4 linked regions of the Caenorhabditis elegans genome follow. The protein of the gene in region 1 interacts with the protein of each later gene in a pairwise test. Each region holds a gene or a part of one and is shown on either strand. Other genes may lie near its edges.

What was found.
Region 2: the proteins of sdz-38 (region 1) and T21B6.3 interact in a two-hybrid assay, tested with the Caenorhabditis elegans proteins (one large-scale study listed by BioGRID).
Region 3: the proteins of sdz-38 (region 1) and K10D3.4 interact in a two-hybrid assay, tested with the Caenorhabditis elegans proteins (one large-scale study listed by BioGRID).
Region 4: the proteins of sdz-38 (region 1) and ZC123.1 interact in a two-hybrid assay, tested with the Caenorhabditis elegans proteins (one large-scale study listed by BioGRID).

The regions. Positions count from the first base shown.
Region 1 is NC_003280.10:9,979,582-9,985,292, reverse strand, and holds sdz-38 (C2H2-type domain-containing protein), read left to right. Parts: upstream 1-3,432; 5' UTR 3,433-3,497; intron 3,498-3,542; 5' UTR 3,543-3,545; coding exon 3,546-3,885; intron 3,886-4,012; coding exon 4,013-4,281; 3' UTR 4,282-4,407; downstream 4,408-5,711. Other genes in the region: ZK892.6 (uncharacterized protein), read left to right, coding at 5,217-5,303, 5,353-5,534, 5,580-5,711.
Region 2 is NC_003284.9:10,943,815-10,952,410, reverse strand, and holds T21B6.3 (Apple domain-containing protein), read left to right. Parts: upstream 1-3,458; 5' UTR 3,459-3,508; coding exon 3,509-3,566; intron 3,567-3,741; coding exon 3,742-3,822; intron 3,823-4,086; exon of another isoform or gene 4,087-4,150; intron 4,151-4,166; coding exon 4,167-4,253; intron 4,254-4,505; coding exon 4,506-4,733; intron 4,734-4,780; coding exon 4,781-6,498; intron 6,499-6,547; coding exon 6,548-6,678; intron 6,679-6,727; coding exon 6,728-6,784; intron 6,785-6,838; coding exon 6,839-6,944; 3' UTR 6,945-7,251; downstream 7,252-8,596. Other genes in the region: K09C8.7 (uncharacterized protein), read left to right, coding at 1,094-1,189, 1,271-1,371, 1,458-1,554.
Region 3 is NC_003279.8:7,133,135-7,143,185, reverse strand, and holds K10D3.4 (BPTI/Kunitz inhibitor domain-containing protein), read left to right. Parts: upstream 1-3,212; 5' UTR 3,213-3,514; coding exon 3,515-3,692; exon of another isoform or gene 3,693-4,704; intron 4,705-4,973; coding exon 4,974-5,477; intron 5,478-5,696; coding exon 5,697-5,846; intron 5,847-5,935; coding exon 5,936-6,166; intron 6,167-6,219; coding exon 6,220-7,383; intron 7,384-7,453; coding exon 7,454-7,630; intron 7,631-7,677; coding exon 7,678-7,927; intron 7,928-7,982; coding exon 7,983-8,097; 3' UTR 8,098-8,448; downstream 8,449-10,051. Other genes in the region: hpo-11 (Protein kinase domain-containing protein), read left to right, coding at 1-204, 650-748, 962-1,126, 1,181-1,578, 2,153-2,276, 2,630-2,733, 2,785-2,908; taf-11.2 (Transcription initiation factor TFIID subunit 11), read right to left, coding at 9,012-9,273, 9,345-9,559, 9,742-10,000.
Region 4 is NC_003279.8:834,808-843,232, reverse strand, and holds ZC123.1 (Sperm mitochondrial-associated cysteine-rich protein-like), read right to left. Parts: upstream 5,238-8,425; 5' UTR 5,132-5,237; coding exon 5,125-5,131; intron 5,079-5,124; coding exon 4,911-5,078; intron 4,691-4,910; coding exon 4,106-4,690; intron 3,557-4,105; coding exon 3,141-3,556; intron 3,094-3,140; coding exon 2,473-3,093; intron 2,016-2,472; coding exon 1,653-2,015; intron 1,610-1,652; coding exon 1,577-1,609; 3' UTR 1,487-1,576; downstream 1-1,486. Other genes in the region: cdk-14 (Protein kinase domain-containing protein), read left to right, coding at 136-318, 372-516, 559-687, 1,257-1,397.

The sequences.
Region 1 (5,711 bases):
GAATAACATAGTAGTCGTAGTAGCTGACCATGGAATTCTGAATAGTCAAAAGAAAGAGGACGGGGTGGGGGAAAGGGACAGCTTCACGGGCGGTCCCCTCGTATTTCTTTTCACTCACTAGTTTTGCAACAACATGCACACAAACAGCCCGTGGGAAGAGAGAGTGTTGAATAACACGATGGCACTGAGAAAAGTGGGGTGGACGCGAAATTGAGATGGCCAGTGAGTCTCTCCTTTTCGTCGTTTTCCTAGCAATAGTGCACTAGTGAAAGAATTCGGTTGGCACCATGCCAAAATGAAGAGAGTGTTTGTCAATAAAAGATTGAGAGAGAGAACGAGAGAGAGTTGTAGGGGGAGGAGCTTAGGAGAGTGTGACATTTCCGCGAAATTGATGGGAGGCGGCGGGAATTGGAAATGATGAGATTTAGGTGTTTCCGGTGACATTCGGTGTGCTTTTGGAGATTTAGGGTTAGAGATTCTGATCATTGATAAGTAAAAAAGGAATTCCATTTTTCCATTTTTCCATTTTTGAAATGTCTAGACGAATGGAGTATCTTGATGGATCTCGCCACAAAAAAAGACTACCGTATTTTCACTCGAGCACCCTTGTTTGCAATAATAAAAAATATTTGAAAGCTTATATCTCGGTTCTCTTTGGCTTTATCAAAAATATGTCCACTGACAGTACGTGTGCAAAATATTTGTTGTATTTTGGTTGTTTAAGGTTTTTTGAGAAAAGTTAAGACAACTGAGATTTAGACCAGGGCTGTTGCAAAAAAAAATTTTCGACCAAAAAACAAAAAACAAAAAATTTTTTGGTCGAACTTTGGACCAAAAAACAAAAAACAAAAAATCGAATTTTTCAAAAATACCAAAAAAAAACAAAAAAACAAAAAAACAAAAAACAAAAAAACAATTCAATGTTTGATTTTGAACGGGACAAAACGGAATTTTTCATAAAATATTAAAAATTGAACGAACAGAAGGTTTTTTGTTTAATTTTTTGCGGAATCAGTGCTGTAATTGATTTTTTGGTTTTTTTGGTTTTTTTGGCGTCAAAAAACCAAAAAAACCAAAAAATCAATTTTTCCCAAAAATACCAAAAAAATCAAAAAAACAAAAAACCAAAAAAAACAAAAAAAAAACAGCCCTGATTTAGACCATCAAAGTGGGGGGGGGGGCCTACTGGTAGAAATATGGTATATTAGCCTCCCATTTATAATGTATTTTTAACAAGAAATAATTTAAACATCAAAAGTAAAAAGAGCTACTTGTTGGCGTTTCGAGGTGAGACCCATTCAAATATATCTGTGCGTCTTTTAGTGTGAGTTTCAAAAACTAGGAAATTACGATATGACTGGATTTATAGGTTTGAAATTTTTTTTAAAAACTTTTTTTAAGACGTGAAGCACGCTTTGAAAACTGAAAGCTAACTGAAAACCTATACCTCCCAGTGTGAAAATTTATGTAAACCGAGAACGTGAGAAGCTGAAAAACAACTGGTAGCCCGGCTAACGCTTGTGGAACTCGAATTGCTAGCGGGTATACGAGAGGAAAAAAACGAAAAAGGATGAAAACGAGACGGTGTGTTGTTGTTGTTTTTGACACCGAATGTAGATAGTGGTTGAGTGAGTGAGTGGGAGAGAATCACGATAAAGAAATTTTAAAGAGAATAAAAAGAACGGGAGGTAGAGAGCATTAACAAAACAACAATAACAACTATCGAAATACAAGCGGCGTAATGGGAAAAAAACTGAAAATTAGTAGTCTTCGGTTGGGAGAGGATGTCGGGGGATAGGGAAAGATTGCGTGTTCCGGTTTTGGATGCAGAAAAAAAAACGAAAAATACGGAGCTATGAAAAAATAGCAACCAAAAACCAATTTAATTGACAGTCTCTTCAAAATTTTGAGATTTCATATTTTCATGTTTAGTCGTGAACTCATTCCCAATTGGAATTTAAATACAGAGTTTGTCTTTTGCTTTAATATGTAGAAAATGTAAACATTTTCACTGTGTAATAAAATTCATAATATTTTCAAACGATTATACCTACTGAAACAAAATTGAAAAAGCTGAATTAATTTTGGAATTCCGTTGCATTTGAATTTCCTAACTTGTTTCCGATTTAAAAGCTGCTAAAAGTTTAAACTTTTTTTAAATTTTTTCAAAATATGTTAGATACAAATTTCTTCTGGCTATCAATTTTTTTACAGACGAAAATATCTGAAAATTGGTAAATATTCGTTTCGAATCTTATTTTAGCGAAAAAATCAAGGCAGTCTGATGAATTATTTTAATTGAAATCATTGAAAGTTTTTAAATAATTTAAAATTTTTTTTCAGCTTTCAAGGTAAAGGCTATTGACACCTACAGTACACCAAAGTGATACTGAAACCAGAAAAAAAGACTTTAGAAGTTGTTGAGGTGCTTTCAGTTTTGGTTTCCTCTAATCTCACCAATAAAATCTTCCATCTCCTCCTATTTCTCTCATTTTACGATTTTGTTTGTCCTTCTTCTCTCTCTTTGGTTCCTTCCCATTTTGGTACTAGATACTTGAACAAGACAACGTAGAAAAAGAAGAAGAAGAAGAAGCACTCCACACAAATTAGATCCGCTTCTGTTGGTGTGAAGAAAATGTTGAAGAATAGGAAGAAGAACATGATTTTAATTTCAATGTAAATGGGTGTTGCCTTCCGTTTGCCCACGGAACAAACGGAGTAATTAAATTTTTTATTCAAATGAACAATTTACACATAATCGTCAAAGACGGATTTTCTTGAAAAAGGTCAACTAGATGGAAAAGTCTAGTTCGACAAGTTTCCAAAATTTCCCAAAAATCCCGATGTTAATAAAATTGCATATTGTGACTGATGATGTGGTGTTGAAATTCCTTTCCGAGGTGCTTTTTTCATAGGACCATTATAGTTGAGAATCGAAAAAAATAGAGAAATTCATCGAAAAATGGTGTAGCAATTGAAAAATTATACCAAACATTGGAATATTTCAATTAGAAAAGGTTTTTCATTTAGAAAAGGTAAAAGGAAATTTGGTTTTTAAATTCTGAAAGAACACAAAATTTGCAACAAAATGGCTGCAGGGATTTTTGAAAAAGCTAGTTTGAAGCCAGATATGAATTTTTAAAAATTGGGAAATCTATTAATTTTGCATATAAATGGTCGATTTTATTCAATCTCAATTTGTGCACTAAACGGTATGACTGAAAATTCACTTTTTCTGCTTGAACTCAGCGGATAGCAGACCACTGTTTATTGATTGGATGTTTATAGAGTCCAACCGCAATTTGATACATGAACGCAGTACTTGGTCGGGTGTAAACCTGGTGGAACGCCAGGTTGTCGATGGACTCCGCCTAGTTACCCATCATGACACGTTGTGTATGTAACGAAGACCACACATTCATTCACCACATTTTCCTCTAACCCAGTGTGCTCTTCATTCGGTCTGTATCGAAAGATTGTGTGTTTTCTTTAAAAATGTATATTTTTTCACGACTATTCTTCCTAAATCTCTTTTTTTTCAGAAAATGCCTCCATATTTTTCGCCTAAATCTGAAGCACCAATCTGCGGTTACTGTCAACTTACATTCAGTCAAACGGGCTCAATGACTCGCCATAGGGACAGACTTCACACCAAGAATCACACGTGTCTCATCTGCGTCTCAAACTGTGAAGGTGCTCCGATTCTGGGAGAAAGTATAAAGAAGCACTTGCAACATGCTCATGGATATGTAGATGTACAGTCGTGTAGTTGTTGCCATTGGATTTTTGAGAACAAAATTCAACTGAGAACTCATTTGGACGCAATGAAAGCAACTGGGCAGCCAGGAGACGAGGTGGTACTAGCCAAGGGTACATTTGCACCAGGTTAGTTGAAGCTTTAAAGTAGGCACAAGGATGCCTGGTAAAAAATAGAAAGACGATAGGCAGTTATGAAGACTTGAGTATTAATATCAAATTTATTCACTCTTAAATCTTAGTAAATTATTTTCAGGAACACTATCACAAGCAGCTATTCTCCAATCCAAAGCCTACTCTGCCAATCGACAGCAAAAATGTCAGCAATCACTGAAAGTTGACTCTGGAGGATTCAATGATTTATCGGAAACACAACTCAAATTCATTTTGGACAACTACTCACAGATTGTTGGAGAACTGGAATCTCCCAATCCTAAAATCAGTGGATGCAGAAAGCGAAAATGTGGAATGACAATCCAGCATGTCCTTCGAGACGACGATTTCAAGAAAATCGAATTGTGCTAGAATTTCATTTTATCATCATTTTAATAATTTTTTTGTGATCTATATTTAATTTTTTCTTTGAACAGTTTTTTTTTTAAATGTCGAACAGCGATATATTTTTAATCTCAATAAATTTTTCTTAAAAAATCGTTTTCCACTCTAAATCTTATCAGAATGATGTGCGCTTAATTCCCAAAGTGCATTTATTTTTAGATCCTGTGGAAAATATTTTTAAAAAATGATGTCCTGAACACAGAGACCCTTGATATCAGATTCTCGGGTCATTTTTCTAGTTTTGCTTCGAATTAACTTGTGATTTGAAATGTACAAATACAAATATTGTAACTAGAAATTATTTTAATTGGTTTTTTTTTTGAGAAATGAACAAAAATATTATCGAAAAAATACGATAGCAAATTTTTTAAAATTTATTTTTGATCTACCTTGTTGACTAGACTCCTCCCCTTCCTTCGACGACTCTAAAAATAATCATATTTTCCATCGATTTTTGCGTGTTTTGAAGATCTAGAAGAGTACATGCTCCCACGAGGGTCGTCTCTTTCTCATTGTGTCTGCGCACTCCATCGATTCATCTCTGTGCAGCTGCGCAACTGTTTGATCTACTTGCAATGCGGGAATTTCTGGACACAGATTTCTCATGTGATTTCGAAAGGTTAAGAGCGTGTTTTTTCCTTTTTTTTTGTCAGTTTCCACTGCCCAGAAATGCCTCGCCACAATTTTCCGTTATTGTGTGTCTGTAAGCACCGATAAAGGATGACATTTTTAATTCTATTTAATAGTTAAGAAACATAATTTACTCTAGGGAGAGCATAGTGAAAGTAACATATCAAATTTAAAAAAACAATAATCCAAAAAAGAAATTCAGAAACCATTGTTTTTAGGTCTACTATCTGATGGAGTCTTTTTCAAAGCATGTGGTTAGCCACGCTCCGATCATGTACGACTACACTTGCGAAGGCAGAACACCACGTCCCAACTTTGGTCTGTACAAGCCTCTGAAAAAGGGAAATTTTCCAAAAACCGTATGTTAAATAAAAACGAAATGATAACTTGATAAAATGAATATTACAGAATGACGGTATGCAACACGATTTGGTCAATGATGTCTTGGGAGGAAAATCGAGCAAATATTGCCCATTCATTCTACCTGCCGGAATTGCTAATGATGGGACTTTCTACCTGAAGCTGGATTCAAAGTTTTGGAACGACAGCTATTGGCAGCTAAAATATCTGGTTAACCAGTCGGACTTAATGTTAGTTAACTATCAAAAAGCCACATGTAATATCTTAATTTTCAGAGAAGAAATTGGATGCCTCAACACGCAAGTACCAGAAGCTCCACCATTTTGGAAAAGGCATATTTGCCTTTTTTTTGTAGATGGAAAGGATGTTACCTTCTGTTTACTGGCAACAGACAAAGTGGGACCGTG
Region 2 (8,596 bases), on another chromosome or scaffold:
TTGTTCATTTAATTATTTAGGAAATGCTATCTTCAGTGCTAATTCATAAAGTCATCGTTTTTTTCCTGAAAAACTTAATAACCATTTTTCCCTCCTCTTGATTGATTTTCCATAGGCATATACGTTTTTATTATCGTACGTCATTTTTGTTGCGCCTTTAGGGTTTGGCTTTTTAAGACCATGTACGACATTAGTGATTTTAAGGTTACCTCAGAATTCATGACACGCATTCTACTTTTAGTTAAACATGACAGGGACACGATTGGAACTTGCTGATAACAATTTATAGATACTTTTATTATGCGACCTACGGAACGATCACAACAGCAACATGCGTTTGGGTTCTGCTTGGTAAAAGGGAAAGTTTTATGGCAGAAACGTACCTAGGTTCATATTTGCTTGAAAAATATTTCAAAACAAACGGAAGTAAGCAATAATGATGGCGTGTCTGAAAGCAGTTTTAATATATATTTGAAACATTTTCTTTGTTATACACACATCACTGAAATGTCTAAACTTCAACATAGTTTAATTTTTTTGGAAATAAATGTGCAATAATTTATTAGAATAATTATCATTCAGTAAAGTTTTTCACCAACAAAGAACATGAGCGAAATTGCCCAAACGATCAAATTAATAATAATAATTTAGTAAAAATTGTTAAAATGCATTATGACGGATAACATTTTAAAAGAGGCTTTATCTTATCTTGTATAATAAAACACATGATAGTTTTATACGATAGAGTAACAGTAACAGTTTTTGTCAATGAACAAATTTTACAGAACAATTTTTATAGAAAGTTTAATTTTCCAATTATTTGAATGTTGGTGAGTATTGTTTTTTCCAACCTCTCAACACCTTTTAATTTCGAAAACAGAATTAATCACCATGAGTGTCAGGGTTCAAATACACCGGTTTCTGAAACAATTCATGTCAAAAATTGAACGAAACCATTACAAAAACTGTGATACATATGACGCCATCAATCTTCGTGTTCACCTCGTTTTACCTCACTAACTGACAACATCATCACGTCGCCTTTCTTTTATTCTTTTCACTTACTTTCATCACTTTTCATCGTTTCCATCTCATGACTGTTAAAATTTACATCGTTAGTTGTTTATTGGTTGGTGCAGTGTTGTCGCAATGGCCGTATGCCCCAAATCACTGGTATGGAGCAAATCAGGTGAGCTAGGTAAACATCAACAATTTTTATTGCTTAAAAATGTTTTTTTTTTTGAGAACATATAACATTTTTGCTTTGCAGGGAAATATACGGTCAGGAATAGTTCCTGATTACAACCCTGTCCCTAATGTCCAAGGAGGTACATTAGCTCCACACATTTGCGGATTCAACACTTTTACAAGGTACGTTAAGATTGCGTAAATTATTTGAAAAAAATATTTGAGAGAAGTTGACACTGACAGCAAGTTATTAAGTTTTTGTTCTGCAGAAAATGTATGGATCCTGAAGGATATTGCCCTGGCAAGTGCATGAACTTCCGTTACACCTACAACACTTTATACGACTGCCGATGTCTTGCGATTTAGATGCGTTTTTCTTTTGAATTTTGAGTTTGGTTTTCAGTTTTAAATGTTCACCCGACCCTCTGTGTATTTGTATATTTGTATGTATTTTTTCATTCCACATTGTTGCACATGTCTGGCTCATATGATTTGCGTATTCGTAATATAAGTGTAATAAATTTTTGTGATACGCTAAGGGATGATGAACGTAAAGAAAATGCTGCGGAAAAATCAAAAAGTGACACTTGTGACGTGGTCACATGCAGTCTGGGATAAAAATCAGAATATGAAATGAGTGTAAAATCTAATTTTTGTTTAAATTGGAGACTGAAAGTAGAATAAACCAAGAGAAGTGGCACATTGAATTTCGGGGGGGGGGGGGGCAGTTTTTTAAAATTACTTTCCGATAATTTGTACTCTCTCACAGTATTTTTGATTCTTACGGCTGCATAATTTCGATTGAGTTTGAAATTGCATTCAGCGTTGTAATGTGCCCAACTGCCAAAATGAGACGACTGGTTTTGGATGTATTTTTTTAATACTTACAGTGAAATTTTTAGTGATTTGATATATTTTAAATCATAAATTATTGTCTCCATAACTCCATTTTATTCACCCACAACTGGTAGTGATTAAGAATGAGCTCTTCACATTTTTTGTAATTCCACCTTAATGAGTCACCGCCTATCAATCATATAATCTTCATACTTGCTTCATTCCAAACTCTCTGCTTTGCTCTTGTCTTGCTCACTTCTCAGCAGAATCTCATGTTTCACCTGAACTTCTTCTTTCTTCGCTTCTCACTGATTCGTGGAAAAAATTGTCGCGTGTGCTTCCGTTGCCCATACCGCTTCTGACTTGCTCTTATCTTTTCTTTGCTTTTCTTTTTCGTTTTTCGCCTGACACATCAGCCACCAAGCTTTTATTAAAACACGAAGGATATGATTTGTTCATCAGCACTTGTCAGCAGCTCGCTCAAATTTCGACGTTTCGGATGCATGCTTTCCTGAAGTTTGCAACCTCGAAAAGCTCGCATGATATGGGTTTGTCAAGAAACCAAAAGTTTCGAGTTTTTGAGTCGATTCCTAGAATGTCATCAATCTCATCTTCGAACATTATAGTATAGTTTCCGAGCAACAAATGACCGCGGTGGACCTCCTCAAAGTGATTTTAAATTGAACAACTGTGCAATAAATAACGAGGATGAAAAATGTGTGCGAAATGTTGTGTTGTGTTGTGAAACGAAGAAAAGTGCCGAGGATAAAATATCACTCAAAGTGGAGTTGATGGATATGTGACGACATAGGGAGGAGAACTTATTTTGTTTAGATATGGGGTTTTAATACACCAAAAGACATATGAATAGGAACAACAAATTCCAATTTCAAACAGATTACCTATGAGAAAAGCAATTTTGTTTTTTTTTTCACTTGAAAGTTTGTATACTTTTTAAAATTAATTGTTTTTTTTTAATCTTTGCTACTTCCTGAAGGCAACATGACTTTCTGACCCGCACAGGTTTGCTCAATTCTGAATAATTTCTGTTTTGGTCTAGTATTTTACTCTTCAAGACTCGATCATAATCAATGCATACTCGCAGGCTTTGAGTTCGATTTGAAAACGTTCTCAGCATCCATTACTGCTTCCTGTTTCTCTCTAACTTTTCTGCTCACCGCACAACTCTTTTTGATCTTTAGCCTCACTTTTGGTTTGAGTAGAAGCGTAGAGCATTTTTCCTTAAAAAAAATAGAAAGAAAAGTTGATACCTCTCTTCTTTCCTATACTACAGTAGTATTTTCAACCCCCTTCCTCATTCTTTTTATCACTCCCTGATGTTTCAGCTTCTTCTTCTTCTTTTTCCTCTTCATCTTCTTCTTTTTCTTACCTCTCTTCTTGTTTCTCGACTCCGCCCAGTATCATCGTCAGTCACTTGTTGTGCACTCTCGTGTCCGCGGTCCCGTCCATTATCAGCCGCAACATGCAGGCTACTGTAGGCTTATTCGCCTTAGCGGTCTTGTTCTGCCTAGCCGACGCAGGTGAGTATATATGTTTATAGATGGAAACTGGTTTGAGGTTCAGCTTTCATTATGAGAGGGCGAGAAGTAAGGTGTAATAGGTAAAAAAATAAAGCATGAACCTCAAGCTTGTCATACACAAAAGGTATTACTAACAGTGAAGTTGATACGCAAGTGTAAGAAAAACAAGTTTCAGGTAGAATCTCGGTATCCAGAGGAAAAAATGTCACAAAAATTGATGATTTGTGCGCCAGAATGCACAACAACACTGCTCTTGGTAAGTTCATTGAATTACATCAGGTCATTTCCCCTGAAAAATTAATATTTTATCTCATCACTATAATTCATTAAACTTCTCTAGGTTTTAAAAACTGTATTGTTCTGAAAATCTTATTTTCCTTTTGAATATTATTGGTTTCTAATTAACATATGCGTTTCACTAAAAAATTGATACAAGTCATCTAAAAACTAGTATTTCTAAAATCATTGATGAAAAATAAATTATTGTTTTAGTTTCATTTATTGACAATTCACGCATTAGGTGTTTGCAGCAAAACAAACATAAATCAATTATCCGTCATTAACTTCGTGTGTGTCCACGTACCACTTTGATTATTTCAGAAGGATCATCTCCATTGCTGATGATGCAGGCAACCGCCTACGAGTGTCAGAAGAAATGCGTGGACATCTTCCCAGAGTGCTCCGCAGGTAAAATTTTCATTTTTGCACCGGATCCTATCCGGCCCAAGAAGATTGATGTGATGTGTCAAGCAATATCTATAACAAATGACACTCATCCGCAAATATCTCTTTTTCTGCTTCTTTAACTGATTGCTTTTGCAAATTTACACTGCCCCTCCTTGATTCGCAAAACTCCGTCTTCGAAATTTGATCTCTGCGTTTGGGGTCATGAAGACTAAAAAAACATTAACTTCACAAAAAAGTTCAACTTGTTTTCAGTGGTTTACTACTACTTGCATAACGAAACAAAGAAGCATTTCTGCTACCTCTTCTCCGACAACTCGGTTCAAGATAAAATTGACCTTGTCGAGCAAAAGCCAGAAAACAAGAAAGATATTGTTAGAATGCTCGAACTGGTCGTCGACTGCCACCAATTTGATGCTCATCCACCACTGGAGGAGGACGGTTTGGCTTCGTCTACCGATAAGGTTGACAGAAAGAAGAGACGTAAGATTTCGATCGTTACTTCGGTTTATATAAAGTTGTGATTTTAGAACAAGGCGATGAAGCTGTTGAAGGAGTCGGAGATTGGACAGATTGGTCCCATTGCTCCAGTAACGGACACGAGGTGCGCTCTCAGGCATGCGAATACGGAAGAAAAATCCAACGTCGTGGATGTCCAGCTAGATCTGCTCCACAAAGAGTCCCAGCTCCACCAGCGCAGCAGTATGCGCCACGTGCCCCAGAGTACCCAAGTGCACAGCAACAGCAGCAGCAAAGGGAACAGCAACAAAGAGAACAACAACACAGAGAACATCAGGCTCGTCTTCAGCAGCACCAGCAACAACAACAACAACAGCAACAGCAGCAGCAGCAACGTCCACCACAGCCACAGCCACAACCACAGCCACAGCCACCACAGCGACCACCACAACAGCCACAGTCCTTCTCTGGAACTCACGAGCTTCATCTTCAAAGGCAGAGAGAACAACAGCAGCAACAACAACAACAGCAGCAACAACAGCAGCAACGTCAACAAAATCCACAGCAACAGCCACAACAGACAACACAGTTCGGACAATCTCAAATCCAACTCCAAAGTGGGCCAGTCCCTCCACAACAACATCCGCAACAGCAGCAGCCACAGCAGCAACCAGAACTTGAGCGTTCTCCACTCGATCAACATGCTCAACTCTATCAGCAGAGAATGTCTCAATACCGCGAGAACTTCAATCAGAGACATCCAGCTCGTCCAAAGGCTGATCCATGCCCAGGAGGTTTCTGCGCCCCAGTTCCACAGGCCCCACAACAAGAACGCCCAACACCACCGCCAGTTCTTGCTCCAGTGATCAACACTGCCACTCAGCCACCACTTCCACAGCCCTACCCAACCAGATATCGTCCAGCTCCCCCACCACCGCCAGCATGCGATGGACAAGGATGTGTCAACCCACCAGTTGTTTCTGGAGTTTGGCATGATTGGTCTGACTGGTCTACCTGCTCATGCACCTGTGGAGATGGAGCTAAATCAAGAAGACGTGAATGCTCCACCAATAACTGCCAAGGAGCTGATTATGAGACTGAGCCATGTAATCTTGGCCCATGTCAGACATGGTCTGAATGGTGCGAGTGGTCAACTTGCTCTGCTAGCTGTGGATCAGGTCAACGCGAGAGAACTCGATTCTGTCATCTTGGTACAAACAGATGTGAAGGAAAGGACTACGAATCTGAGCAATGCAGTGCTGGACCATGCCCAGAATGGTCTCAATGGGAAGATTGGGGACAATGCTCTGTGACTTGCGGACAAGGAGTCGCAGTTCGTCAGCGTACATGTCTCGGAGGTGTTTTCGGTGATCATCTCTGTCAAGGACCAAAGACTGAACAACGTGCCTGTGATGGTGGACCATGCTCTCTTTGGTCTCCATGGCAAGAGTGGTCTACATGCTCGGCTTCATGCGGAAGCGGAATGAAGCGGAGACAACGTGTCTGCCAATTTGGAACTGATTGCCAAGGACCAAACGAAGAGAGCCAATTCTGCTACGGACCTCCATGTGCCGAGTGGACAGAGTGGTGCGAGTGGTCAGGATGCTCTTCAAAGTGCGGACCCGGACAACGGACTAGAACTCGTGGGTGCCTTGGACCAAACGGGCAAGAAGCCACTACTTGCCAAGGACCAAGTATTGAAACTACCCTTTGCGAAGGGCAATCTTGCTGCAACTGGTCTGAGTGGTGTCACTGGTCCATGTGCGACAAGGAATGCGGGGGTGGTCAGGTGAGATATATTGAATATATGTTCAGAACGGGGTAATAATGAATTACAGTCAATTCGCACTCGTACATGTTTGAACAGCGCTGGAAGTCCGGATTCATCATGCCACTGCGATGGACCAGATCGTGAAGAAAAGGAATGTAACAGTCAGTCATGTGCTCCTCAATGCGCTTGGAATACTTGGTAGTTAAAACTGTTACATTGGTATTAATTAGTTTTTTCAAATGTCCAGGTGCGAATGGAGTCCATGCTCAACACAACTTGCATGCGAAGTTGGAGTACAATCTAGGTCTGAAATAGTTTTTGATGAAGACATGTTAAGAATCTGAATTATATCTTACAGAAGCCGTCAATGTGTTGGAGAATCCGGATGTCACTGCATCGGTCTTGCCGAAGAATCCCAGCAATGCCGTGGATTGACTCAGTGCCCACCAAAGCCACCATGCTAATTTTTTGTGTTAAAAAAAATCAGTCAGACAGGGTTACATCGCCCATTTCTTTCATATTTATGTTTTTCAATTTGTACTTATATTCAATACTTTCATACAACACCGCCTCAAATAGTCGAATCTCTATATCTAGTCAATTAATTGTATTTTTCACGTCTTCCATTATGCAAATGCCTTTCAACGATAGGTTAAATTAAAGTTTGTTTTATCTTTGAAATTTATGTTTTAATAGCATTCACTGCCATAATTTGCATTTTCAATGTGGTTTAAATTTTTATTCTTAAATTCTACAATAAAGTTGTTTCACAGCCCATTGAATATAACATCAAAACATACAAGCCAGTTAACATTCAAACAAGCTTTCAATCAAAGTGTTGTACAGTTTCAGAAAACCACTCCTTAACACGAATTTTCATTAAAGTATATTGGTATTTATTAACCAAGTTTGCTGATTTATAGGTAAAACTAAAAATAGAATCAGATGCAGGTATACAATTATCAGTTGTTTAGACTGTCAGCAGAAGATAACATGGGATCAATGCTATTTTTAATTGTTATGTAGTATATGCACCCCTCCATTATCTAAATTATCTCCCCCTTCTAGGAGATTCATACAACTCATTGATTAAACATGATAGAACATATGTACTCGTTGTACTACAAGGGTGCAATACCCAATATTTCTTGTTGCCATCGTCAAAATCCTTCAAGAACAAAATCCTTTTCCTCGACATCTTCATTTGTGGCACATCTTACTTTCCATGTAGATCTTGAAGGATGTGTCAGAGTTTCCGATTCCTATAATAGTTTCTTTACTAAATGTTCCATATTTTCTTGCCCTATCTGAATTCAAAACAAGTTTCTCTTCGGCAATTAAAAAATTGTAATTTAAATTTTTTTTTTTCGTCACCTTTACTAGTGATTATTTTGATTTTTCCACCAGATTATTCTCTTAATGTGATGTTATAACATATTTTTCTACTCTCCTCTCGTGAAAGATTGACCAAGATCTCTTATGTACCCAATGTATTTGAAAAACGCCTATAAATAAATATGCATACATTGCAAACCGTTTGTTGTGGATTTTGGAGGGATGAATTATTTTTTGAACGTTGTTCTTCCGTTTAGCCCGTTTTCTTACAGGTAGTCACAAGTTACTCGCACAATATGGACCACCTCGTTGTATTATCGATTATTGGCCTCGGCGCGTCTATAGATTCGGTACGTACTGAAACAGTTTCAATATGCATAAAGAACATAAACAGTGTTACAAGTTAAAAAATATATAAATGATAAATTCTATTTTCAAACGGGTTTTTTCAGAAACGTGAGAAGAAAAATATTAGCGTTGGAAAAAAGATCGCATTCATAAAGCTTGGTTATTTTTGTACATACAGATATTTATTTTTATATTTTCAGACATCATCGTTATTGTCCTGAGGACAGGTTAAGATCTTAAACGTGATTCCCAAAGTAATATTTATTAAATAATAATAGCAAATACAAGTTGGTTGAATGATTGACTGAATGATTGAGGGGTGCTGCAAGAGGCCAAGAAATAGTCTTATATACGGAAGAGTTGATCGAATTATGTAAATGATGGGGCGACGGCGGTCATGAAATGGAAACCGCGGGAATAATACCGCGGGAAT
Region 3 (10,051 bases), on another chromosome or scaffold:
TCACTGGAAATTGCAGTAATCGGTGGACTTTCGGGATGTCAGAATGGAAGTTCAGAAGGACCAGTCACCGAAGATGTCATTGAAAAAGCGATTCGATCGTTGGAAGATCCGATGCAACAAGATTTTATACGACAATGCCTCAGAAAAGATCCAGCTGAACGGCCTTCAGCAAGAGAACTTTTATTTCATCAGATACTTTTTGAGGTACGTGGATGCCATAAGATTTGCCAAAAAAAAAGCAAAAATGTGAAGTACCGTCTGTGAAAAAATGGTTTGAAACTATTTTTCTATGGATCTGAAATTACTAAATGCAAGAGTAAAACTTTTATTTGAAATTTATTATTTACAGTAAAAAAATTGACTATATTTTTAAAAGGTTTTGCCATAACGACCAAAAACAATTCTTTACAAAATTTTTAGATTCTAATTATGTTAAAATTAATTTTATCTAAAGCCGATGTGTACTCTAACATATAAAATTTCTATTCATTTCTCAAAAACTCAATTTTTTTTAAAAATTTGGTATTCTGCCAAAAAAAAAACCTTTAAAAAATTCCAAGTGTGGTAGTTGTATACTTCGCGAGTCAAAAAATTTCAAATACAAATTTCAATGACATTTTTTTCTGAAGCATAATTACCAAAATTTCAGGTTCACTCATTAAAATTGCTCTCTGCGCACGCAATTGTCGACTCGAAAAAGTATGAAGATGTTTCGGAAAGTGCATTCCGAATAAAAGACAATGAAACAGTAAGTTGAATCCCCACATAGACTAATGCGTTCTAAAAGTTATCGGGTAAATGGCCATATGAGGAGTTCGTTTTGTTGTTACTCTTTCCCCCCTCCACAAAAGTAAATATTTGATTCGTCGGTCACTTTGTCGGCGCTTCTCGGTTATCTACACTACCTTTTGATCGAATACAGTGAACTAAGTACATTAATTTAAACTACATTGTTTTTCAGATTGCTGCAACGTCGAAATTAAGAGAGATGGCTTATTGCCAAGTGGCCGCATTTCAAGTTGATCTAGAAAAATTTCTCGATGATGTTCGAAATGGAATTTATCCATTAACTGCATTTGCACCACTTGCACATCAACCATCTACAACATTACGGGCATATTCGAATGTATGAGATACAGAAAGAACTTGTGTAAATCTATGAAAATTATAGAGTTTTCAGACTAATCCATCGACTTTGATCACTACGGATATATCTGCTCCTTCATCAACGCATCCTTCAGCCAACTCAACAATCACTGCAGAAACATCAGTTAATACTAGTTTACCTGGTCAATCATCACAGCCAAGTGGTACAACAACTAATACAAATGGACCATCTTCCATCGGTAAATCAGCAAGTCCTGAAGCAGTTGATAAGAAAATCGGTGAAGTTACGAGTACGGAATCAACGAGTAAAGTCGAAGTTGAAGTCAATGGAGCAAATGTTACAATAGGATCATCAAATGGGCGTGATGCTGGATCACCGACTCCGGAAGAAGAAGGAGAACCAAATGGGGAGAGAGATATGCGGTTAGAAAATAGACACATTTTGGAGATCAATGTGCATATTGAAAATGAGTACGTTTCTTTTCTTTCAAAGTATACTTCCTGAATCAGTTCACCCTTTCCTGATAGAATTTTAAATAAGACCCGAAATTTGATGATTCGGGTCTCGACACGAAAAATTTAATGTTAAATGCGAAAAGGCGCGCGCCTTTAAAGAGTACTGTAGTTTTAAAACGTATTTGCTTCGGAATTACAATAGACTTTTCATAGTTTTTTGATGAAAAGTTTAAATATTTAAAAAATAAATATAAAAGTACAACAATTTAAATTTGGACAAAACCAAGATAAAAACTATGAAATTTTGATGAAAATTTTGTAGAAGTTTGAACGAAAGTTACTAACTTTGTATATTATATATTTTTCAAATACATAAATATATTTTTATCGGAAAACTATGAAAATCGATGGAAATTCCGAAGCAACTAGATTTTAAAACTACAGTATTCTTTAAAGGCACCCACTTTTCTGAATTTGCGAAAACAATTGTCGTGTCGAGACCGGGTATCGTATATTAGAGGAAAAAAGTGCAAAGTTCGCATCTGATGAAACCTGATGTAATTATTTACATTAACAAATTAATTTTCAGAGAAATGTCAATTGTTCTTCTATTAGAAGATCAAATGCATCGGCAATTAACAACGTCGATCAACAAGGGTGACAATCCAGAAACTTTGACTGAAAATCTGATTACACACGGTTTTATGTGTCAGGTGAGTGACTTTGTTGGCGTTCTCCCTTAAACTTTTCTTCTCTTCGCTCACTCTAAGTGGAGAATGCAGAAAAGGATAATCTGCTGATAGAGAGACTCTTACGGCTTTCTCAACAAATAAGGACACCGGCAAACACACTGCACGTTGGATGATGGGGGGGGGGGGGGGTGACCTTTTTTTCTTGGTCTATCGAGTTGCTCATAATGATGCTTATCCTCTATAGCGCTAGCGCACGCTGATGGTCACTCGACACATAGCTAACAAACATGCGCGTTGAAAATGATAATATGAGAAGAAGAGAGAATAAACCAAACACTTCAAAAAACACATAAATATCAAAACTTTAATTTCAGCTGGATTCGGAAGGAGTCGAAAAAGCAATTGCAGTGGCTTTTGATATTCGTGCTGCTCGTATTGCAGAAGGTGTTCAGGAAGAGGAGAATGAAACATCAACGAGGTAAATTTCAAAATGAAGTTTTGAAAAACTTTTTAAAAATTAATTTTTCAGAGAGTCAAACTCTGAGGCTCCAATTGAAAACGGTACTTCAAGCTCGATAACGAATTCGGTAAAACCAATTGTTGATTCGGTTGCTCCTTCATCTCAAACACCAACAACAACAACATCTTCCTAGTCTTCAATTTCTGTTTCCAATCATCTCCATCCCTCCATCCCTCCCCACATCCCCGTATTATATTTCCTGTTACAGTTTTTCTCTGTTTTTGTCCAGTTTCCTCTTGTTCCTTTAACCATTTCTGGTGATTAGATGGGGATCTTTTTCTATTAACTCTTTTCTCTTTGAATAGTTCAATATGGGTCAATCGGTATGTCTAGGTTCTCTTATTCACTAACTGCGAGAGCTCTGTGCGCATTTGTTTACCGAGAATTAACCATTTCGATATTGTGAGAGAGATCGCGCTCAAGAAAGATGGGACGACAGTTCCGCCCAGGAAGTAATAGAGCAACGACTGGGCGGGTCTCGGAGCCACCGCCGTGAGCACCACCAAGTCCATAGTCGACGGGTTGACGGTGACTGTGTGCTGTATAGAGGTTTGTCTGTTCGTGTTGACTGACTCTCGGCCCCTTCTAAGATATTTGGTAGTGGTATTTGCGGTCGTGCGAAGAGACGACGGACACGGTCAAACGCCCGACAAATCGTTTGTCCCCCCACTCACTCCCCCCATTATTCCCTATTGATCACTGTGATATAGCAGTTTTCAACAAACGATAAGCGAGCACAATGCTTAAATTAGCGGCTCTGTTGCTGCTTGCCGCTATCGCGGTCCGTGCCCAACACGGAACCGTAGGACGGCCTTGTGAGGTCTCCACAGATTGCGGAACCGGAAATTATTGTGCTGGAAATAAGCGATGTGCCTGTCTGACGACATATGTCGAGATTGATTCTTATTGCTGGAGAAGTAAGTATTTGATAAAATAAAGAGAAACGAGATTACTGTAGATCCCCATACTGATCACCTTCCCCCATTCTCGCTGTGCTAGCTTCTCGCCTTCTCGCTTTCTAACTTTAATTCACATTCTTCTTGTCGTTTTCATCATTATTCATATTTCACGTACATTTGTGTATTCATGTTGAATGCATGCGTTTTTTCATGTTAGGCACTTTTCCGTTTTTCCCCTTCATAGTCCCATCAAACTTTCATTTCAATTCTTCGTTTCCTTTTTATCTATGTGAAAATGGCATCGAAAACGTCTAGATTCCCTACAACGATTCCCGTAACACGGGCTCCAAAATTTCTAGGTTTTTACCCGATATCCGCCGTGAGTTGCTCGGGTCGTGCCAACTTCTAAAATGAGATCTCTTGGCACAACGAACCGAAAACTCCCGGCGTCTTCGTTCCCCATCCAGTTTGTTCTCCTAAGCTCATATCGTGGCCCCATCCCTTTAGACTTTCTTCTTTGTTTCTCACAATCTATATTCTTTTTATTTTGGCAAATACTATGTATGGCATTTTAAATTGTGATTCTATGTATCTTCCAACGAATAATGCCATACAAAGAATTTAGTATCCTGATTCGTTTTATCTCGCGCTGTTATCCTCGTCTCCCGTGTTTTTAGTATACCCTAGGTCCTTCTATTTTCTTCTCTTGTCAAAACGAAACATCCAGAACCAACACGGATGCTCATCAACATTATTTTTTATTGTTTCGTTTCATTGCTTATCGTCGTCGTTTTGCTGGGTTGTTGTTCTCCATCCTGGCGGGTTGCTCTTTTAACTTTTTTCTCCTCATCCGATTTTAGTTGTCGTTTCTGCAAAATTTGAGTCACAAAAATGCCACCAGCGCAAGCACACACACATATATAAGCCTAACTTATTTTGCCACCGACTGCTTTTCTCTTATTTTCTCTTTTCTTACCTTCCTTGTGAACCATTTTCTTCTTTGATGCATAAATAAATTATGAATTGATTATTCACTTTCTCAATCTTTCAAACTAACACCTAAATCGTTTTTTTGGTACATCAGTAAACGTTTTTAAGCAATTTGACCCTTTATGATACAGTTTTTACGAAACAATTTGTAACAAACAAATGTTGAAAAGTGAGGATTTAAACTCAATAAACTCGTTTCGCACGAAAAATAAATTTCCAATTTTCCATTTCTTGAGTCATAAGTGAAAACTGCAATGTAGTTGAAATTTTTACTAATTTTCTTCAATTGAAATGAAATAATATATTTAGAAATCAATCCGGGAGAGTCTGGATGTACACAAAATCGACAATGTGAAGCCGTTTGGCCAGGTGCATACTGTAGATCAGGAGAATGTCGATGTGCCAACAATCAACCACCATTCCGTACTCGTGATGGTCTTGTGTGTCTCAACTATGGATTCTGTCCACTTAACGGAAATAATCCAAAGTTCCGCATTGAAAACCAAGTTCAACAGTGCTACGGAGGAGCCGATGCCACGTGTGAAGCTATTGGAGCTCTTTCATACGATTGTATTTGTGATTCTGATGATTGTACCGTCAACAATCCTATCAGTTTCTGTTGTCCATCACGTGCATTTGCTTGTATTCAACCACCAAATGAAGGATACACTCCACCAGGTGGTGGTACTACTTTGAATCATTGGTACCATGACCCAATTACCGGAGAATGTAGAGAGCTCAAATATCAAGGATACGGTGGAAATGCCAACAACTTCCAGACAAAGGATCATTGCGAGTCTTACTGTAAACAAAGTGAGTTTATATTTATTGAATGAAATTATATGGTTAATTTGCGATGTATACATATAGCCTCAATGAGCACAGTAGACTCAGTTTAATAGTCTATATGTGAATCGTCCTACCACCATGCCAATAGTGTGAGGTTGCTGACGGACACATAGAAAATTAACCGTGTTTAACAACTTCCAATTTGAAAAAGTCAAATTCTACTTTAAAATTAAAACTGTTCAGCCTGTAACCGCGGTCTTCCATTGTATCGTGACCGTACAACTGGAGTCAAACAAGAGCCAGTTTATTGTCAAGGAAATGACAATGGATGTAACAACCCGAACTATCAATGTACAACCATGGGAACTCTTCAACAATGTTGTCCAACTTACTGTAAGTTTATGAGAGTTTACCGAATTTTGATATTAAGAGAATAAAACCTTTGAATATTCAAGATGGTACTTATTAATTTAAATTTTTAGTGTTCATCTGCTCTCGAAATGGAGGAATTCCATCAGAAGTCTACAATACAGCCGGAGGTCTACCAACCGAATACTTTGATGTCGGAATCCCAGATGGTTCTGGAAACACTTCGCCAAGATTCTACTACGATTCGCGAGAAGGACGTTGTATTCAATTCTCGTATCTCGGACAGGGAGGAAACTTTAACAACTTCCTTTCTCAAGATCACTGTGAGAAATTCTGCTCAAGAAGTAAGGAAACTGTTTTCTTTGAAGAATTTTAACTTTAAACATGTATATTTCAGTTCTCTGTTCTGCTGGAGAACCACTCAAGGATTCATCTGGAGAACGCAACATGGAATGCTCACCAACTGGTTCTGGAGCCAACTCATGTCCATCTACTCACTCCTGTGAGTCTACTTCTGGCTCAACTACTTTCGGAGGAGTCTGTTGTCCACGTCCGCAGTACGTGTGCAAGTTGCCAAGAGAACAAGGTAACTGTGGAACATATTCCAATCGTTGGTGGTTCAATGCTAAAACCGGAAACTGCGAAGAGTTTATCTATTCTGGATGTCAAGGAAATGCTAATAACTTCGAAACGTACAAAGAATGCCAAGATTACTGTAGAGATGCTCGCAGTGAGCCACAATGTATTCAAGGAACCGCTCTTACTGATTCCAACGGAAACTTCATTATCTGTGGAGGATCTTCAGCTGCTTCTACCACCTGTCCAGCTAATCATTACTGTTATTATGATGGAACCACCTATGGATGTTGTCCAACTCAAGCTTACACTTGTTCATTGTCTTACAAATCTGGAGCATCTTGTGGACCAGCTGTCACTCGTTGGTATTATGATTCTACAACTAGAACTTGTCAGACATACTCTTTCAATGGTTGTGATGGAAACTCTAATAACTTTGCCACTCAACAAGATTGTAAGGATTACTGTAGAGTTGAATCATGTCCAGATGGAGGAGAAGTATGGAAGGAGCAGAATGGAGCAGCACGTGCTTGTACAACTAACCGACAATGCCCATCTACTCATTACTGTACACCAGTTACCACATGGACTGGAACCGTTTACCAAACAAAGAGTCTCTGCTGTCCATCAAAGAATTTCGTATGCTCTCAACCACGTGACGTCGGAGTTAGATGTTCTAGCACAAGAATCTCCAGATGGTACTTCAATGCTGATTCAAAGACATGCCAAACATTTGAATATAATGGATGTGAAGGAAATCGCAATAACTTTGCTTCTCAAAAGTCTTGTCAAAACTATTGTCTTTCGGAAGCCTGTCCACCAGGAACTGTTGTTGCCAAGGATGGAGATGGAAGCAGACTTGTTCAATGCTCAAATCCAGGTGGAAATGGAAGAGTTTCCGGTGGTTGTCCCGATGGTTACACTTGTTATTCTTCACCACTTCTTGATCAGAATGTTTGCTGCGGAGCTTCGACTGAACTTCAATGTTAGTTTTTTTAATTACAGCTTCTTAAACATACTTTTTATCTTTCAAAATTCCAAAAATTAATTTCCAGCTCTCTGCCCTGCTGCTTCAACTCCATTCATTTCTGCTCTCTCACTTCAACCAATGCAATGTACTCCAAATGTTGATGGAGCTTGCCCTGGAAACTTCTTCTGCTGGTTCTCAACTACAACAACATCAGTCAATGCTTTCTACTGCTGCAGATCCCCAGACTCTGTTGATACAGGATGTAAGTATCTTCGAGTTAACCCTCATAATTTAGTCATTTTCTTTTAGACTGCCCACCACAACTTGTTCCTGTACCAGGAGAAAACGGAGCCCAGTACAAATACTGCTCTCCATCAGCTCCACTCAATGACGCCATCCAGGGTTGTGGAGCCAACAGACATTGCCAATTCTCCACTAATTTGGAAAGATATATCTGTTGTGGACTTGAGTCAGATGTTCGATTGCCGAATGTTTGCCCACCACAACCAGCTAATTTGGTTCCAGTCGAGTTGGCTGGAAACTATAGGACGTGCAATCCGTAAGTGAAATTTGATTTGAAAAATTGAATGGTTTTCAATTTTGTATAATTTTAGATATGCTCGTGCTGGAACTCCACAATCTTGTCCAGACAACTCAGCATGTCTTTACACGGGCAATGACAATGGATTCATCTGTTGCAGAGTTCAGTTGGGAAATGGAAAGAGTTAAACAAGAGCTCCGGGGTTCACGACTTTGTTCTCTAAAATTTCTAAATTCTTTCATTTATTTTTTGATGTTTTTTCTTGACTTTTTCGCCATCTCATTCCCACGTACATGTGTATTCCCCACCAAACAAATAATTTTTCTGCATAACTTACACTGTACGGTTGTCTGTTTTTCCTCTATCAATTGTTCATTTTCCTCTCATTGTTTTTCCATGTAACTGGAAAAAATCGATGCCAAAAAGAGCCTGAAAATCAGAAATCTATATTTTCAAAGTTCTGTTTTGACGTCAATCGTATTGCTATTTTTAGCTATGTTTTGAGTTTTCTTCTTTTGAAATAAAACGAAATTTCCAATTCTAAGTTTCCCATTATGTGAAATCAGAAGGCTGCCATGTTTAAAGTGTAAAAAGTTATTATTGAAAAGTTAAAATATCAAGATGGTTAGAAGATCATACTCAACTCGTGAGCATTTTTCTTATCTAGAAATGTTCCACTTTTACTTTGCTCAAGTAGAACTCTACTGGGGGAAAATTACAGAAATCGAAAATTTTTTTTGGTGCCCGCGTTTCCTTTTTCAAGACTTCGTGTACGAATTCATTCGTTTTTTAAAATGAATTTAGATTTTTTAAATTAGGTGTTGATTCAAATGTTTTTGAGAAAAACGATAACCATCACAATCATTTTTGAGAGGAGACCAGATTCAATCTACAGTACCCCGGCATTTTTCTAATTCAAGTTTATGTGGATTGGAAGGTTATTTTTATGGAAGTATAGAAATCATTTACCACTTCCAATGATTCATTTCCAATATAAACCAAAAATATAGACAACTTTGTCACAATAGAGATCGATGAAATAACAATATAAACAAAAAAACACCCATATTGTTCGAAAAAAGTTCTTCTCTGGCAATAAAGCTCAATTATTTCCTTGTCCAAATGACGGTAAGAGTTTTCCCTGTTCTCCAAGACGAAGATATGCCTGACGAATGTGATGTGGCTGGAGTGGTTCTTTTGCTTCTTTTTCATCCAAATCTCTGATATCAAGAGCTTCTTCAACAATTTCGCCAACCAACACTTTTGCCAATCCAGCTACTGCAATATCTACCTTTTTTCCAAGGTCAATTCCTCCAGTGAATTCATTGATAAGACGTTTGATTGTGGACTTTTTAAACGATGATCTGTAAAAATTAAGTTTTATACAAAGGAATTCCATGGCAATCTGTAATTCAAAAATGGAAAATCAACTCACTTTCTATAAACCTCGTATCGTTCAATTTGTTCTTGTGAGAAGTTGGCAACGAGAACTTGATTTTTCAATAGAATAATTTCCTTCTCTTCTTGCTCCAGAATTTGCCGTTTTGTGGGTGGGGGACCGGCTGGAATTTCCGGAGAAGCAGCTCTCATCGCGTTTTCTTTTTCTTTTTCCTCGCGTAATCTTTTTCTTCGCTGCTCTTCCTCCCGAACCTGAAAATTTGAAATTAGTTTTTTTTTTTTAAATATGGTCAAAGTTTTGACAAAATGCCAAACTAGATGAAAACTTTTGAAATAATTTTTTGAAATTTTTCAATTGGATTTTTGATCAGAAAATGTTCTATAGAAGTGATTTTGAACACCCCCTGGCGCTATTCAGCTTTCAATTAACATACAGATTCTTTGAAACAAGCAGTGAATTGACTAGTTCCCTGTCCGTCAACGATTTCTCTAATGGGCTTTCCGTTGTGCATCCAAAATGATTTAAAAACAATTGTAGAAGTATTATCATTTGGAAGATAGAAGACAACTTGAGGCTTGATTTGCGGCAGAAAAGACTGTTGAGTTATTGAGATGGTTTCCTCCATTTTGACGATAGGTTCTTCCTTCTTTTCCACAGACGGCGCAGTTTCCACGAGTATATCTTCTTTATCACTAGAACAAAAATATAATTTTAAACAAATCTTGAAAATGAAAAATGGGTAC
Region 4 (8,425 bases), on another chromosome or scaffold:
GCGCAACGTAGTGCAAAAAAGTGGTTGTTTGGAGCGGCGGACATTTTCGGGGTTCCGCGGAGGCCGGCGCGGCGACCGCTGGGGTCGGCGGAGGCGCCGTTGCGGCCATAACTCTTGATAAAAACTGATTTTCAGAGATTTAAAACCACAAAACTTGCTTCTCGACGAAGACGGTGTTTTAAAACTCGCAGACTTTGGTCTAGCCAGGGCGAAATCTGTGCCGAGTAGGACATATTCTCACGAGGTGGTCACTTTATGGTACCGCCCGCCTGATGTTCTCATGGGAAGTACCGACTATTCAACTTCCCTGGATATGTGGTAGGAGGATATTATTTTATAAAAGGTACCAACTATATCTACTAACTTTGCAGGGGAGTCGGTTGCATATTCGCTGAAATTTGCACGGGCGCCGCTTTGTTCCCGGGATCCAAGGACTCTCACTACCCCGGCACCAAGGACCAGTTGGATATGATCTTCAGCATTCGGGGTACTCCAGACGAGAAAAAGTGGCCGGAGGTGAGGGAATCTAAAATCTAGAGATAAAGATGTTTGTTTCAGGTAAAGACATTACCAGGCTACACCCCTGAACTGTTCCCCAGGTATCGGGAGTTGTCGTTCATCGCGGTGAACCCGATGTTCACGAAGATTCTGAAGACTGGTCAGGAACTTCTGGGGATGCTTCTTCAGGTAAGTAGACTTGTAAAAACCACTCCTTTAGTCCCGAAAAGACCGAATATCATAATAAAACGTTTCAAAAAAATTTTGAAAATTTTTTATTTACTGTAATTTTACCACTCATAATTTTGGAAGTCGACCAACAAAAAAAAAATTTTTTTTCCTACATTTTTATACTGTAATTGTGTTTTAATTATTTGTATTAAAATATTGTAGGGGTCGGAACATGCGACATTGCTCTAGATTTCCTCAATTGCTCATTTTTCAAAATTTTAGCAGTTTGCCAAAAATTTGACCTGAAATTGTGAAAAATCTAATTTTTTGGATTGTTTTATTATGAAATTTGGTTTTTTTTTCGGATCATTATGTATGTATTTTGACAAAATTTTCACTGGCGCTACTCCACCTTTAAGTCAGTCCAGGCCTACTAGTCTAATCTTTGACAAATCAGTCTTCGCGAGCTATATTGAGCAGCAATCTTTGAGTGCAAGCTCAAGCCGAAAGCTTAAGCCCTGGCTGCAATGCTAGTCTAAATGAATCGACATCGAGCTACACCTATCTTGTAACCCTCAAAATTACAGCTCCGCCCGGAAAGCCGTGTCTCCGCAGCCAGTGCAATGCTTCACCCCTACTTTGCCTCATTCCCCCGCGAGGTTCATCTCCTGGCTCCAAGCCAGTCAATATTCCGGCTCAAAGAGCTGAAAGATCTGCGATCACTATAACGACCAAATCTACTACATCTCCAATTTCTTTACACATATTTTCTTGCTCCAAATTGCTACGGGTGCTAAAAGCTAATATAAATGTATGTATGTACTTATTTGTTTTATTAGTCATGTTGAATTATTATTACGAGGTGGTATTTATGTGATATGTGAGAATCGGAGGGAGTCGCTTCAAGTTATGAACGTGTTCCTGGGCATGGGTAGCATTGCTGAAAACTTTAAGATAAGGAAGCTCATTAAACCAACACCTACCGCTGTTCCGAAGTCTCTCTTCCTCCGCTTCAGACCAGTATCCTGTGTACAGATGTTACAGTCTTCTCCCAAAAAGTTTCTCTTCACTCTATGCCGACACTGTGGGAATGCCATGCAATTCTGCTCCGAGACGTTGATATTCGGCTGCCCGAAGTTTCTCTTGACACGATGTGGCGTGAGCCCAGAGACTCCACACCTCGAGCACTTCTTACGACGGAACACGGCTTCTCGTTTGGTTCTCTTGTCTGCATAGACTTTTTGGAAGACTGCGTACTCGACGTTGTTCAGGCAATCGTCACTTTGTTGGCAGGAGCGGCGTTGCTTTCTGCGGGTCTCGATGGTTTCCTCAGAGGATTCGTCGTCCTGAAATGAAAATTTTAAAATCCGCATTGATGTGACGCCAGTTGAGATCTCTGCGTCTCTCAACTCCCGCATTTTTTGTAGATCTACGTAGATCAAACCAAAATGGGACACTCTGACACCACATGAACCAGATCAATTTTTGGTGTGCCACGATGAAGTACACGCGTAAAATCCAGTAAATTGTTGAAATCATTGTGAAATGACCACGCCAATAATTTTTTGAGTGTAAAAAGTCATGAACTGTGTCAAAAAAATGGTGAAAACTGTGGAAATCCCATGAAGAAAGTCCATTTTAGGCCAAATTCGTCACTTTTGGGAGTTAGATGTGCAGGTGGTCTCGCCGCGAATACAGTATCCTTCTCAGTGGCGCGTGCGCGCGTGATTCAATTAGGGGGTTTTTTTTTTGGAATTTTCAAAAAGTTCTTACAGGATCTAAAATTTCAGGTCTAGTCCTCACCTCATCATCATCATCAAATCCTTCCTTATACCCCTTCTTTGCTCTGATATCCGCGATAGCTTCGCTCATCGTCATATGCTTCTCCACCTTCTCGACTTCTCTCTTCTTTCTGCTAGCCAAGGCAAGTGTCACCCATGCCGGACACGGAACACAGGATGCAGCATTATCCGGAGCGAAGAACTGCCGCTTGACTCTCTTGTGCTCCTCCATCGCCATCTCGTACTCTTCCACCAGCTTCTTGTGCTCCTCCACAGCTTTGTAGTACGTGTCGAGCCGATCTGCATTTCTCTTTCTTCTCTTCTTCTGAGCCAGAACACAGGCTGGGAACTTCATGCATCCTCCTGGATTGTTGCCACCTGAGGAGGCCTTGGATAGGAGCTTCACGATATCCAAAATTCCTTTTGGATTGTAGGCTTGTCGTTTGCTTCGCTCATTGATACTGAACTCATCGTTATCACACTGTTCATCTGCATATCTTTTCTCTCTTTTCAAGCACTGATCTCTCTCGGCTTCCCGCTTCTTTCTACCGTAGTGTCCATTGCATGGCTCACAATATTGGGATCCGATCAGGTTTCTCTTATAGCGACGGACATGCAGGGTACATTGTGGATGAGGAAGGCACTGCAAAAATAAATTTAGCTTCGTTAATTTCTATGAGTCAAACTCACGCCAGCTCTCTTAGTTCTGTGCCCGGCGAGTGGAGTTCCAACTGGCGACTGCGATCCGCGTGGCGTTTGATCTCCGAGGAACGGGTTCCAATCAGAGTATTGTGGTTGTAGGTAGGTACACGGAACACAATCGAGAGACCGCTTGGTTCTCTTGAGCGGAGTTCCGTTCAGACACAGCTGGCATGCTCCATTTCCAAAGTTCATGTTTCTCTTGACTCGAACGTGGGCTCTTCGGAAGTCGTAGAGTCTTCCGGCTGTTGGAGGCGATTCCACGTGGTCAGAGGATTGTTCGATGAGCTTTTTGGTGACGGACACTTGAGATGTCTTGGTTCCAGCAACGCGGGATTTTGATTTTATTATGGTCTTTACCGGCTTTGAAATCAGAGTCGGTGGGGATTGTTGACCAAGGAGTCCGACTGAAAATTTTTTATTTATTTTACTTATTTTCAGCGTTTTGAAAATCCACGTGGTGTCAAAGTGTCTCATTTTGGTTTGATCTTCGAAAAATGCGGGAGAAAAGACGCAGACTTTTCAACTGATTTCGCATGGTTAAGAACATGCTGTTGGGAATTTTTTGGTTTTTTTGGTATTTTGACGAAAAATCTAAAAAAAAAGTTTACCGTGTCTAGTGTCGACTCGAGACTATTCTGTATTAAAATACATTAAAACATGTATTTTAACACAGTTGTGACGTCATAAATGTATTTTAATACATTTTGCAACATTACTTGAATAACCCCATTAAAAATCAACTTAAGCATATCAAAAATTTTTTGGTTTTTTTTTTGTTTTTTTTTTGGTTTTTTTGGTTTTTCAAAAACTTCTTTGGTCCAAAAATTTTTTTTTTGGTCCCAGCCCTGATGCTGACGTTACATTTTCCTGGGCGAGAAATTCCCGCATTTTTTGTAGATCAAACCACTATGAGACAGCCTGACACTACGTGAAAATCTAAACTTATAGCTTACTTGGCTGGCAATGAAGCCCCGGTGCGTCTCTCTTAGTTCTCTTCCCAAGCATCAGACGTTTTCTGCAAGGGCACGATGGACAGGCGCGAAGGCAAGGTGGGACCGAAGCGAGGCAGTTATCCAGCTTCAACTCAGGACAGCAAGGCTGTTCAGGTGGGCAGCAAGCCTTTTGCCCTTGATTACAACATGTGGGGTTCTGATAGTAACAGCAAGGTCTTCCGCATCCACAATCTCCATTCGGACATCCGGACCTGCACGGTGTTCTTCCATAAGGCTGTGATCCACAGCATTGCGTTGGAGCTTCCGGAGCCGGTGGTGGTGGAGGTGGTGGCGGTGGTGGAGCAGCAGGTGTTGGTGGAGGACAGCAAGTTCTTGGTGGGTTTGGTGGTGCTGGGACGCCTCCAGGGTTGCCTTCCTCGTCCTCGTACTCTTCGTATTCGGGGCGACGACCTCGGCAGCAGGGTTTCGGGCAACAGTTTGGGGTTGCCGGGCAGCAAGGGCCGAAGGCTGGCTGGCAACACGGTTTTGGTGGGGGAGGTGGCGGACAGCAGGCAAGTGGGATTGGTTTTTGAGAGGAGCAGCAAGCTGGAATTTCAATTGTCTCATTTCGGCTTGATCTACGTAGATCTACAAAAAATGCGGGAGAAGAAATGGGAGACGCAGATTTCTCAACTGATTTCGTATGGTTAAGAATGTGATGACGTCATTTTTTTCTGGTCATAAACTTCCCGCATTTTTTATAGATCAAACCGTAATGGGTCAGCCTGACACCACGTTGACAAGTCTTATAGAATCGCAAACTTACAGCTCGAACAACAAGATCTATTCGGGAAAAGATCACATCCCGAACATCCACACGAGCATCTCTTCCTCCTAGTCTCCAATCTCAAGGTGAGCGGAACCAAGTTCGTCTCATTGGCACCAATGAAGTGCGGTGGAAGATCAGCTTGTCGAAGATGACTGTCGTATTTCACTGTAATCAAGATGATTAGGAAACGTTTAGGTGAAATGGTGGATACTTTTCATAGGAAGTACCAGGTCCACATGATCCTCTGGGAATCTTTCAGGAGCACTGTCGGCCAAAGCCAGCACGAGCACGTTGAGCGCTATCGCCCAACTACTCCAATGCATTCTGAAATGGTTGGCAATTGGGGGATTTTTGAGAATTAGCAGAATTCGGATAGAGTCAAATAAAATTAGCTCGGCATTCGGCTCTAGCTTCATGCCCAAGTTTGGCCCAAAAATATTAACTTGGAACAGAAGTTGGCTAAACTTGGGCAAAAGTTGGGCAAAAGTTGGGCGAAAATTGGGCAAAAACTTCTACGCAAGTTCGAAACAAAAAAAGTTTAGGCCAAAGTTTGTTGGGTGAAACTTGGGTTAAACTTTGATATTGCCTGAATCCAAGTTTTGCCAAAGTATTGCCCAACTTCTGATCCAAGTTAATATTTTTGGGCTAAACTTGGGCAAGAAGCCCAAATGCCGAGTGTTCAAAGCACCTTACATAGTTATCCAAGCAAACATTTATCGAAGGTTGCAGAAAAAAAAACGGATGGCAAATGGATATTGTAAAAAAAAAGAAAACATGAAGAAGACTATATTTTTTCTTACTAAAACTTTCTTCCTTAAATCTATATATTCCTAAACTTTGAGACAAAAATTTGTGTGCTTTTATGGTCAGAACTGTATAAAATAGACGCAGAATGCATTAAAGGTGGAGTAGCGCCAGTGGGGAAATTGCTTTAAAACATGCCTATGGTACCACAATGACCCAATATCATGATAATGGTGCGTCCATAGTCTGCGGAAAACGGGAATTTCCCGCGTGCGGAAGCGTCCATAGTCTGCGGAAAAAACAAGAAGTTTCTCGCTTTGTTATTGGTCAATTTCAAAATAGTGGGCGTGTTCAACCAATTAGAGGCTGTAAAATTTTAAGCTGAGCAATGAGAAAACAAGAAACAACAGCTGATTGGTTGGCCACGCCTACTTTTTTGAATTTCGAGGAAAAAAAAGCGAGGAACTCCGGTTTTTCTATGGACGCACCATAAAAAATTCAAAAAAATTTTCTAAATTTTATATGATTTTTTGAAAATTGAAAGAATCTCAGTTTTTGCCTAATTCCTATTTGAATTACCGCCAATTGGATTTGTTCGATGGAGCGCGCTTGCACGTTTTTAAGTTTATTTATTTTATGTTTTGTTATTTTCCACCCATTTTAAATGTTTTTTATGCAAATTTTCGATTAAAAAGCACGCTTACAGGCGTAAAAATGAACCTGAATTGATTAATTTCACTGATTTACCTGTACGCTTGCTTTTTAATCGAAAATTTGCATTTATTTTGACTTTTTCTCTAAAATTCAAGCAAAAATACACCGAAAACATTAAAAATCGGTGGAAAATAACAAAAAATAAAATAAATAAATTTAAAAACGTGCAAGTGCGCTCCATCGAGCAAATCCAATTGGCGGTAATTCAAATATGAATTAAGTGAAAACCTTAGATTTTTTCAATTTTCAAAAAATCATATAAAATTTAGAAAATTTTTTTGAATTTTTTTATCATGATATTCGGTCATTGTGGTATCATAGGCGTGTTTTAAAGCAATTTTCCCACTGGCGCTACTCCACCTTTAAATGCAGAAATTTTCGCAACAAGAATGACCGCTTATAGTAGTCTTCTGAGTCTTCAAATTAAAGTAAAATAGGCCGTCTTCAGTCATTTCAAGTCAGGGTAGAACAATTTCCCTAATAAATAACCATGATGTTAAGCAATAAAAGAAGAATGGCAAGTTGCATAAGAGAAAATCCAAGCGCAAGCCGATGGAATCGTTTGAAACAATGAAGTGAAGCGACGAGGTGGGATAACCTGTCCTCCCGGGCGGAGGCGTGTATTTCTCGAGACAATGGCGGACGGGTTCCACTCTTATCAGATGTCTTATCAGTGGATGTATTCTTACGCGAGAAGGCGCTTGTTAGCTCATAGCTTTTTGTCGAGAAACGAGTGTGTGTGTGTGTGTGTGTGTGTGTGTCACCTTGTGAGGAGAGGATAAATTGATAAGGCAAAATTGAGAATTGAGAATCGGATAAGAGGAAAAAGCGTCTTTTTTTTGTTAAACGTTTGTATTGCTTTCTCGAAATTGCCTGAAAACACCGAATTTTCTATTGAAAACTCATTAAAAACCTTGAAGATTAGCAAGTTAGTAGGTAGGTTAGCAGGTTCCGGCAAATCGGCAAATCGCCAAATTGCTGGAATTGAAATTTCCGGCCATTCGGCAAATTGGCAAATCGCTGGAATTGAAATTTCCGGCAAACCGGCAAATTGCCGAAAATTTTCGGAAAATTTTGGTTTCGCACTTTTTTTTTTTTTTTTTGAAATTTCCGAATTTCAATTTCAAATGGCAAAATTGAACGCATCCTATAAATGTTCCAACATCTATTTTGAAAAATAAGTAAATTTTATGAAAATATGTTTAAAAAAACGGAAAAATTCAAAAAGACACCGTTTTAAGTGTCTTTTGTTTAAATTAACAAATTTTAGGCCATTTTTTGAGCCTTCATAACTTTTTTTTTGAATAGATTTCAAGAAGTTTCAATATGAAATTCGGTGGTTTCAGTCAATTTTAAGTCTACACGTGGTGTCATAGTGTCTCATTTTGGCTTGATCTACAAAAAATGCGGGAGAAGAGACGCAGAGTACTCAACCGATATCGCATGGTTAAAAACGTGCTGATGATGTCACATTTTGTTGGGAGTAAACATTCCCGCATTTTTAGTAGATCAAACCGTAATGGGACAGCCTGGAACCGCGTGAGTTTGAATTAGTGTGTTTCAAAAAAGAAGTACCAATATTTTATTGAATTATTATTGCGTTCCATACATGAAATCCAAGTGATTATTGCAATAGAATAGTGAGGCCTGCAAAAAACTAGAATAGAAATCTATTAAAAATTGGAAGGGGAACATCTACATGTGTCAACCGGACAAAGAAATAATTCTTATCATAGAAAATGGGAAAATTGTGTGAAGACAAAAAAAAACATATCCTAGAAAGGGGGCAATCCTGATGACTATATATATATATATTTATCAAAATCATTGTGCATGGTAAGAAAAATTATTAATTATTATGAGAAGCTGCAGGCGGTTGGGGTGAAATTGAAGACAAAAGCGAAACCAGTTTTTGTGTCATAAAGCGGTGGGGGGGGAGGGGATAGGCGGCGGGATGTGGTGTAGTGTGTCGAAAAAAAAGTGGATATAGATATTACAAAGAAATTACTTTGGGGGATAGGAAGTGAGCTCAGATCGGGATAAGGAGTTGTGGT